Linked DNA regions of Macaca fascicularis. The protein of the gene in region 2 binds, or shares a complex with, the protein of the main gene of each other region. Links are inferred from orthologs where the notes say so. Each region holds a gene or a part of one and is shown on either strand. Other genes may lie near its edges.

Region 1 (3,749 bases), on a different chromosome or scaffold from region 2:
ATTTCAATTAGCATTTACCAAGCTTGCTTTCCTTGTCATTGGATTAAAAATTATACCAGGATTTTCAAGTGTATTCTATTTGTGACAATATGCATTGATAACTTCTTTCCCCACACTGCTGCACTCTCACCTCCGTTCCCAGATTAGCTCCTGGAACTCGAGATATTTTTGTGGCTAGAGATTGCTTTCTTAATGTTAGGTTTTCCTTGCAATTCCATATATAGTCAAGTATTCCATGCATGGTAGTTAATTGTTTGCTTAATTTGGCAACTGGGATATTAGAATTATGTATCATCTAGGCAGTGATATTTTTGTAAGGTTGTTTGCTACATATATCCTATTTCATTTATATTAAGTCTTGGGAAAATAAACTTTATTTTTCCAGAGCCTAGCAGTGACTGACACATATTCGAATGAATGAAGTAGATGGAAAATGTCTATATTCATTTACGTAATGATTAGTTAAGGAGAAAAGTACTTCCCAGCATAAAGATTTCTGGCAATCCTTTGCTTATTTGACTTTTCCCTTCAGGCAAGTTCAAGGCTTGTGAAATTCCTAGAAAGGTGAGGGGAGAGAACGCGTGACACAGAAAGAGGCCGCAGTTCGGGACCCTAGGTAGTTTTGGGACGTTATGGGCATGCAGGGAAGTGTTTGCTTTGGAGGCTTTGGGCAAGCTACGGATCCGACAAACCCTGGGCGCAGGCAGGAACACTGCCCTCCGGCCTCCAGCCGCGCTTCGCAAAGCCCAGCGCCAGCGTCGCGCAACCTGCCGCAGGGGCGGCTCCCTGGCCGGGCAGCCGGGCGCGCCCTCGCCCCACCCGGGAACGCCGGCCCGCGCCGGGAGGGGCGGGGCTCCATGGCGGCCCCGCCCCGCCCCGCCGCCCGGAGGGTCACAATGTAGGGTTAGGGCGGCCGGCGGGCGGGGCTCTGCGGGGGAGGAGCCGCTGGGCGGGGGCGGGGACGGCGCGTGGGGGAGGGGAGGGGAGGGGAGGGAGGAGGACTCACAGAGGGAGGAGGACAGCGCCATTCCGGGCGGCCGCTCCCTCCGTCCCCTCTCTCCCTTCCCTAAAGCGGCCCGCGAGCAGCGAGCCGCCAGCTAAGGAGCGCGCGAACGCGTGACGCCGCCCGACTGGCCCGCGCTCTCCCGCGCCCCGGCGTCCTCCGCCCGCTCATGGCCCGGGCCGCCGCGGACGAGCGGCGCTGAGGCGGGCCGCGTGGAGACGTGGGGCGGCCGCCGTGGCCCTCGCAGTCGGCGCTTCGCCGCCTGCCCGCGGTGCCCGCGCACGCCGGCCGCCATCGCCTTCGCGCCTGGCTGGCGGGGGCGCTGTCCTCCCCGGCCGTCCGCGCCGCTCCCTGGAGCTCGGCGGAGCGCGGCAGCCAGGGCCGGCGGAGGCGCGAGGAGCCGGGCGCCGCCGCCGCCGCCGCGGGGGCCATGACCGTGGAGCAGAACGTGCTGCAGCAGAGCGCGGCGCAGAAGGTGAGGCGAGCCCGCGAGCCGGCGGGCCCCACTCCTCCTTCCGACGGGCTGTCCTCCCCCGCCGCGGCCGGGCGCCCCGGCCTCGCCGCCGCCGCCGTCCCCGGCTTCCTCCACCGTCACCCCCCGCCCCTGCCCATCGCCTCGGGGGCGTCGCGCCCAGTGCCCAGCTGCGTGTGGGAAGCAGAGTGTAGTTTGCGGGCTTCAGTCCACTTCCTTCTGCCGATTGTTTTCCCGTAGCAGACGGTGCCAGGTATTGAGAGCGACCCTCACATTCCTACAGTGCTCTGTGTGGCTTCTTAATGAAACTTTATTCTCTCCCCTTAAATAAGAAAGAAGAGCCAGTTGTCATCCTTTCTGAACCCATTTTGTCTTTCGAAGGTAGTAGTGTTACAGGCCTGCTGTTTTGCAAAACGGTCTCCAGCAAAATCGAATTACCTGCCTTGCGGGGCAGTCGTGTTGACCAGGTGGACTCTAGAAGTAGGTGATTTGCTTGGTTTCTTTTCCTTTTAAGGTTTCCCTTTTTTCTTCTTCTTCTTTTCTGCTTTTTTTTTTTTTTTCAATATGGTAACTGTCTCTAAGAGAGGAAACCTTTCTGGCCATGTTATTCCAGGAATCTTTTGTCCCCTAAGTTTGACCTTGTTCCTTCGTTCACTCTTTACTCTTGCATCAGTCACACATTCAAATGGTCACTCACTAAAGAAAACCATTTAAAAAAAACTGTGAAGCTTTGTATCTTTAAAGTGAATAGTGAGAGATCATTCTGCTATTTTAGACTTTGCTTTCAGAATCTTAAGTGCACTATCATGGCTTGCACCATATTCTGAAGAGTAGTTGGCCATAATTTAATTTTTTTTTTAAATTTTTCATTTGCGTGAAAAGCATTTTGGGCAAAAGGGGTCAACCGTGCCTTAGTCGTGTTGGAATTACGGGGACAATTAGGGTTTACTGTGATCAACCACCAGAGTTGTGTTTGGTTAATCTGGGTGAGTAATGAATGCCCCGCCCTGGTGTAGTTTTGGTGTAGCGATATTCTACCTGTGCTTGACTTTGCAATAAGACCTGTTCTAAAATGGGCTGTCTACATACAGCCTGCTAAATTTTTGCCTTGAGATTATTTTTAGAATTTTATGATACTGCTTTAAAGTAGTCGAAGATACTCAAGAAGTTTGGAAAGCAAGGATAGTGCATTGTTATTTTAGGCACGTTGGGAAAGTTTTTGAGACTCGTATGTTAGTTGATATTACTGGTAAAGTTAGAAGGATATTGCACACTGCACTTTATTTACGGTGAAATAATTCAAGACTTAATAATGAGAGTTTAAAAGAGTTTACTTCCTAATCCTCCCTATTCTATTTTGAATACCTTCAAATTTAGTTTTTAAAGACTTAAGGCTTACGAAAGACCATATGGTCATGTGAATACTAAGCACTGTTTAATATGTATGGTACTATTTGTTTATAATTGTCTTCAGTGTTGAATATTAAAGTCTGTTTCAAAGTGAGAAATACGAATTTTTCACATCTCCTAAGTTTGAACAATGGGAAGAACTTTGTAAGTTTGGGATTTTTTTTTTTTTTTTTCATTTGATTTTGACTGAACTGCATTAAGTAACTGCAGGCTCTGTTGCATGGTTCAGAGGTTATGCATAAAATTGTAGAATCAAGAATCAAGTTAACGAAAATGATCTTGGCTGTCAAGTCCAATTTCCTACTTTAATTAATCCCCTCCCCACACAAAGGGAGTAGTTAATTCAAAATATCATTATGATGTTATTTTTAGTATGGGTGTGTTTTAGATCATTTCATTGTTATTGGGGATTTTTTTTTAGAGAAGCTTTTATACTTCCATAATACTTAGATTGTTTTACAAAAGAAACACTTAAATGTGTTTGCTTTCCATATTAATACACGATTGCTTTATTACTCATATTAGAACTATTTAAAAATATTTATATGGATATAAATAAACCATCTACCTCAATAAGTTGACAGATTTAAATCCATCAAGCTGGTAACCAGGAAGCGCACTTAAAACTGGTAACTAGGAAGTGAACTTCACACTTAGAAGAAACAAAAGTGAAAGTCTGTTTTTACTCAGACACTTTATGGATTATCTAAAAGGAGAGGTGTGTAGTGTATATTGCATAGCCAACATTTTAGCCAGTTTTCTTCTCACCTTAAAAAATTGTGTGTACGTATATGTTTTTAAATTTTAAGTAAATAGTTGTATTTTGGTAGTCGGAATGGTTTCTTATATTTTCAAGGGTTTTTA
Region 2 (3,649 bases):
AGAGCATTAAAGATGAACTATAATGAAAAAATGTAGCTAAAAAAAAGAAAAAGCAGAAGAAAGTCTTAACAGTATAACTGATATAAAATAGAAAAAAGACCTGGTTTTTAAGTTAACTCCAAATTGACTATAAGCCTAGAAGGGAACCATAGTGGGCCAAAGGTGCGAGTGAAATATTGGAAAATTATGTCATATAAAGAATACTTGAAAAAACAGATGTATTCTAAAATAGGGGAAGATGTGTAGAGGTAGGTGGTTGAAAGGCTGACACCTCTGATAAGTTGACTAGGTCTTAAAAAGATATAAAGGGACACATTGTGTTGTAGTGGGCTGAATGGTGGCCCTCAAAATGATATGTCTATGTTCTAATCCCCAGAACCTATGAATGTCATCTTCTTTGGAAGAAGAGTATCTGCAGACAAAATTATGTTAAGGGTCTAGACATGAGGAGATTATACTGGTGGCCTCAAATTCAATGCAAATGTCCTTAGAAGAGATACAGAGGACAGGAAGGCAATGTGAAGATGGAAGCAGAGACTGGAGTAGCGTGGCCACAAGCCAAAGAAGCTGCCAACCATCAGAAGCAAGAAGAGGCATGGAATAGATTCTCCCCTACAGCCTCTGTAGGGAGTATAGTCCTGTAAAACTGAATACATATGTAGACTGGAGATTAGATCTCTGTGCAAAACAGGGTGAGCATAAGCCCAAAACAAATGAATTATACCTACCAGCAGTTTTTGGCACACTTTAAGTTACAAGCATTCTATTACACCTGTCCCAAATTGTAACAAGGTATCTTCCCTGGCTAGAGGACTAACATGGGTGTTATTATACAAGGGCGATCCCTACACCTGGGAGAATAACTAAATTTTCTCTAAACACCTTTTCCATTCTAAAATTTCATGTATATCAATAGTCCATTTAAATTCAGGACTTACCAGCATTCAATATTTAAAGTTGACCATAATGATGAAAGCATACAATATTACAACTCCTTATACTGTATGAAAACAGTAAAACAAACAGAATAATCCTAAATTCATAAATGCCCTAATGATGACTCCATCCTTAGACCCTCACAGACATTTAAGATGGATCCCAAAATAGGGTGGGTCTATTGGAATGTATGGCCAACTTTTGGTTCAAGATTATTTAAGATTCTAAGTGGACAAGAGAAACTTCATAAAGGGGCGATTCTTAAAAGGTGCACTTGTCTAAGTACTACTGTGCTTTCCAAATTAATGGGCAACTGCTTCAGGAGCCTAGTCACGTGAATAATGAAATGAGATGAATAAAGACTGACACTTTTCGGAAACAAAACAACCAAGGACAATTACGAAAACATTCTTTTGAGGTAGTTGCATGGTCAAAGCTTTGACATGTAATAAAATGCAAAGTGCTAGGCTGCTTATAAAGATAAAACAAAATAAAGACTCTCAATTGTTAGACAATTTTGGGGAGAAGTATAAAATACTGGGCTCCTCTGGCTTCTTATAGAAATGTGTTGTGGGTTTAAAAATAGCTCATAAGAAGCAAAAGAGAAAAGAGGTGGGTGGCAATTAATAATTCTTTTTTTTTTTTTTTTTTTGAGATAGGGTTTTACTTTGTCATCAAAGCTGAAATGCAGTGGCACAATCACAGCTCACTGCAGTTTCAAACTCCTGGGCTCATGTGATCTTCCTGCTTCAGCCTCCCAGCAGCCCAGTAAGTCACCATGCTCAGCTAACTTAAAAACATGTTTTCGGTTTTTTTTTGCAGAGATGGGGGTCTCGCTTTGTTGCCCAGGCTGGTCTCAAACTCCTGGGCTCAAGCAATCCTGCCTAAGCATTCCAAAGTGTTGGGATTAAGGTGTGAGCCACTGCATCCAGCCTAATTCTTAGTATTTAGTTTAAATGACTCAAATATATAAAAGAGTGTTTACCTGTTCTGTTTCAAAGATATCCCGAAGGTGTTCAAGGCCAAGGCTTTTTAGAAATTGGCTGATATTCATGTCAAGACCGGTAACTAAAACAGAAACATATTCAAGATTCTCAGAAAGAATTCTCTAAATATAAAGAAAATTTCAGTATCCATTTAAAGACATGACTCTGACAACCTTGGCTGTCAGATGATTTTACATGGCATAAAATAATACAGAATACACAGATTTAATTCAGACACTTTATTTCTCAAGTTGATTGAGAAATAAAAGCAGAGCGTTTTATCTTCATCAAATTAGTATTTGTATCAATTCTAATATGGTTAGAATATAGAATTATAACTTATTGTAATTTATAAAAATATAGAGAATACTAATTTTAAAATATTATAGTATAATATTTATACTATAGAATGCTACTTATATAGAGAAATCTAAAGCTTTTAATGAATTAAAAAATCTAAATGTATCAGCTATCATTTTAGTTTTCATTCCTGAAATGACCTCTCAGTTGTGTTCTGACATAATTTCAATATAAGTGGTTCAATAAGATGCTGGTTGTAAACAGATGCTCTAGAATATACAGAAGTAAGAACAATGGCAATGCCAAGAAATGTGGCAGTCTTCTATGAAGAAATATTTCTTATAAGATGTTGTGTGTATGAAAATTTACAGACAGGACGTCTCTAATGGAGGCGTTCAATAATTATCAATAGAAAAAAGTAATTCTGCTCCACTAACAAAAGGTATAAATAAATAAGCATTCACGGGGTCTACTCACCTTCTCCTTCCTTCCTTTCTGTTCCCGCGGCGCCATCCCCTGCGTTGGAGGCTCCTCCTACAGCCAACTCTGCTAAAGGGCCAGTGAGGTTGTCTATGCTGCTGGCAGCAGAGAGGCAGGAGGGGGTGGATGCTGGTGAGATCAGAGAGGCACTCACTACAGTAGCCTGAGGTTTAAAACAGGTAGGTAAGGCCTCTGGGGGCATGGCATCTATCAGCAAAGCTCTGATATCGTCAGCCTAAAAAAATGATTAAAAAAAAAAACGTGAAAAGACTATATATTGAAATGGTAAGTTTTTCACTAAGAACCAAATGCTTTGTGGATTTTTTCCTTAATGAATGCCTCATTATCTATCCCCTTCTGGTTTTTGATCATTCCTTCTCCTATCCACAGCTTAGAGTTTCAGTAGTTTCAGTAGACAGAATTGGAGAAACCATGTAATTTTTAAAAATATTTCTTCTTTCATTTAAAAAAAAGCACTTTCAGTGTTAACTGTCACCCTTCTTTAGAAAAATTTCCATATTTACTATATTTTGTTTATGTTTAAACAGCTATAATAATCTGGTTATTTACACTTAATAATGTCATGTAAAATTAGCATCTGGTGAAATTTCAAAGGGATGACACTCTTAGCTCATTTATTCATAAACTTTACAGTTTTTAAGTATTAGATGCAACTGCTTTTCGAGTATGCGGGAGATAGTCTCCAGAGACAGCCAGCCATCAATTCCTTCCTCCCGACATGCATGCCTCCCCTTGAATTTCTACCCACCTTGAATGTGCTTTGCCCTGTGAGTTGTCTTGCCCAATAGAATGCAGAAGTGATGTTCTGAGGCTTCTGAGCCAGGCTTTAAGTGGATTGGCAGTGTCTACTTTTACTCTCTTAGAAGCCATCTGTCATGCCGTACAGAAGTTTGGGCTAGACTACTGAGGGCTGAGATCCTATGCAG

The links.
Region 1: the proteins of TNKS (region 2) and USP25 are in contact, whole or in part, in a crystal structure (PDB 5GP7), measured with the Homo sapiens proteins. The link is inferred for Macaca fascicularis from reciprocal best matches to the Homo sapiens genes TNKS and USP25. Residues at the interface, in NP_003738.2 of Homo sapiens: Arg836, Ser838, His842, Leu843, Gly846, Tyr847, Leu871, Asn876, Ser879, Tyr880, His882, Asp900, Trp902, Phe904, Glu909, Gln912, Lys913, Gln934, Glu935; in NP_037528.3 of Homo sapiens: Ser1046, Ser1048, Arg1049, Thr1050, Pro1051, Ala1052, Asp1053, Gly1054, Arg1055.

What each region holds. Positions count from the first base shown.
Region 1 is NC_088377.1:31,489,183-31,492,931, reverse strand, and holds the start of USP25 (ubiquitin carboxyl-terminal hydrolase 25), read left to right. Parts: upstream 1-1,026; 5' UTR 1,027-1,433; coding exon 1,434-1,478; exon of another isoform or gene 1,479-1,728; intron 1,729-1,845; exon of another isoform or gene 1,846-1,955; intron 1,956-3,749. UniProt on the Homo sapiens protein: Deubiquitinating enzyme that hydrolyzes ubiquitin moieties conjugated to substrates and thus, functions in various biological processes including inflammation and immune response.
Region 2 is NC_088382.1:11,155,799-11,159,447, forward strand, and holds part of TNKS (poly [ADP-ribose] polymerase tankyrase-1), read right to left. Parts: intron 2,938-3,649; coding exon 2,700-2,937; intron 2,005-2,699; coding exon 1,922-2,004; intron 1-1,921.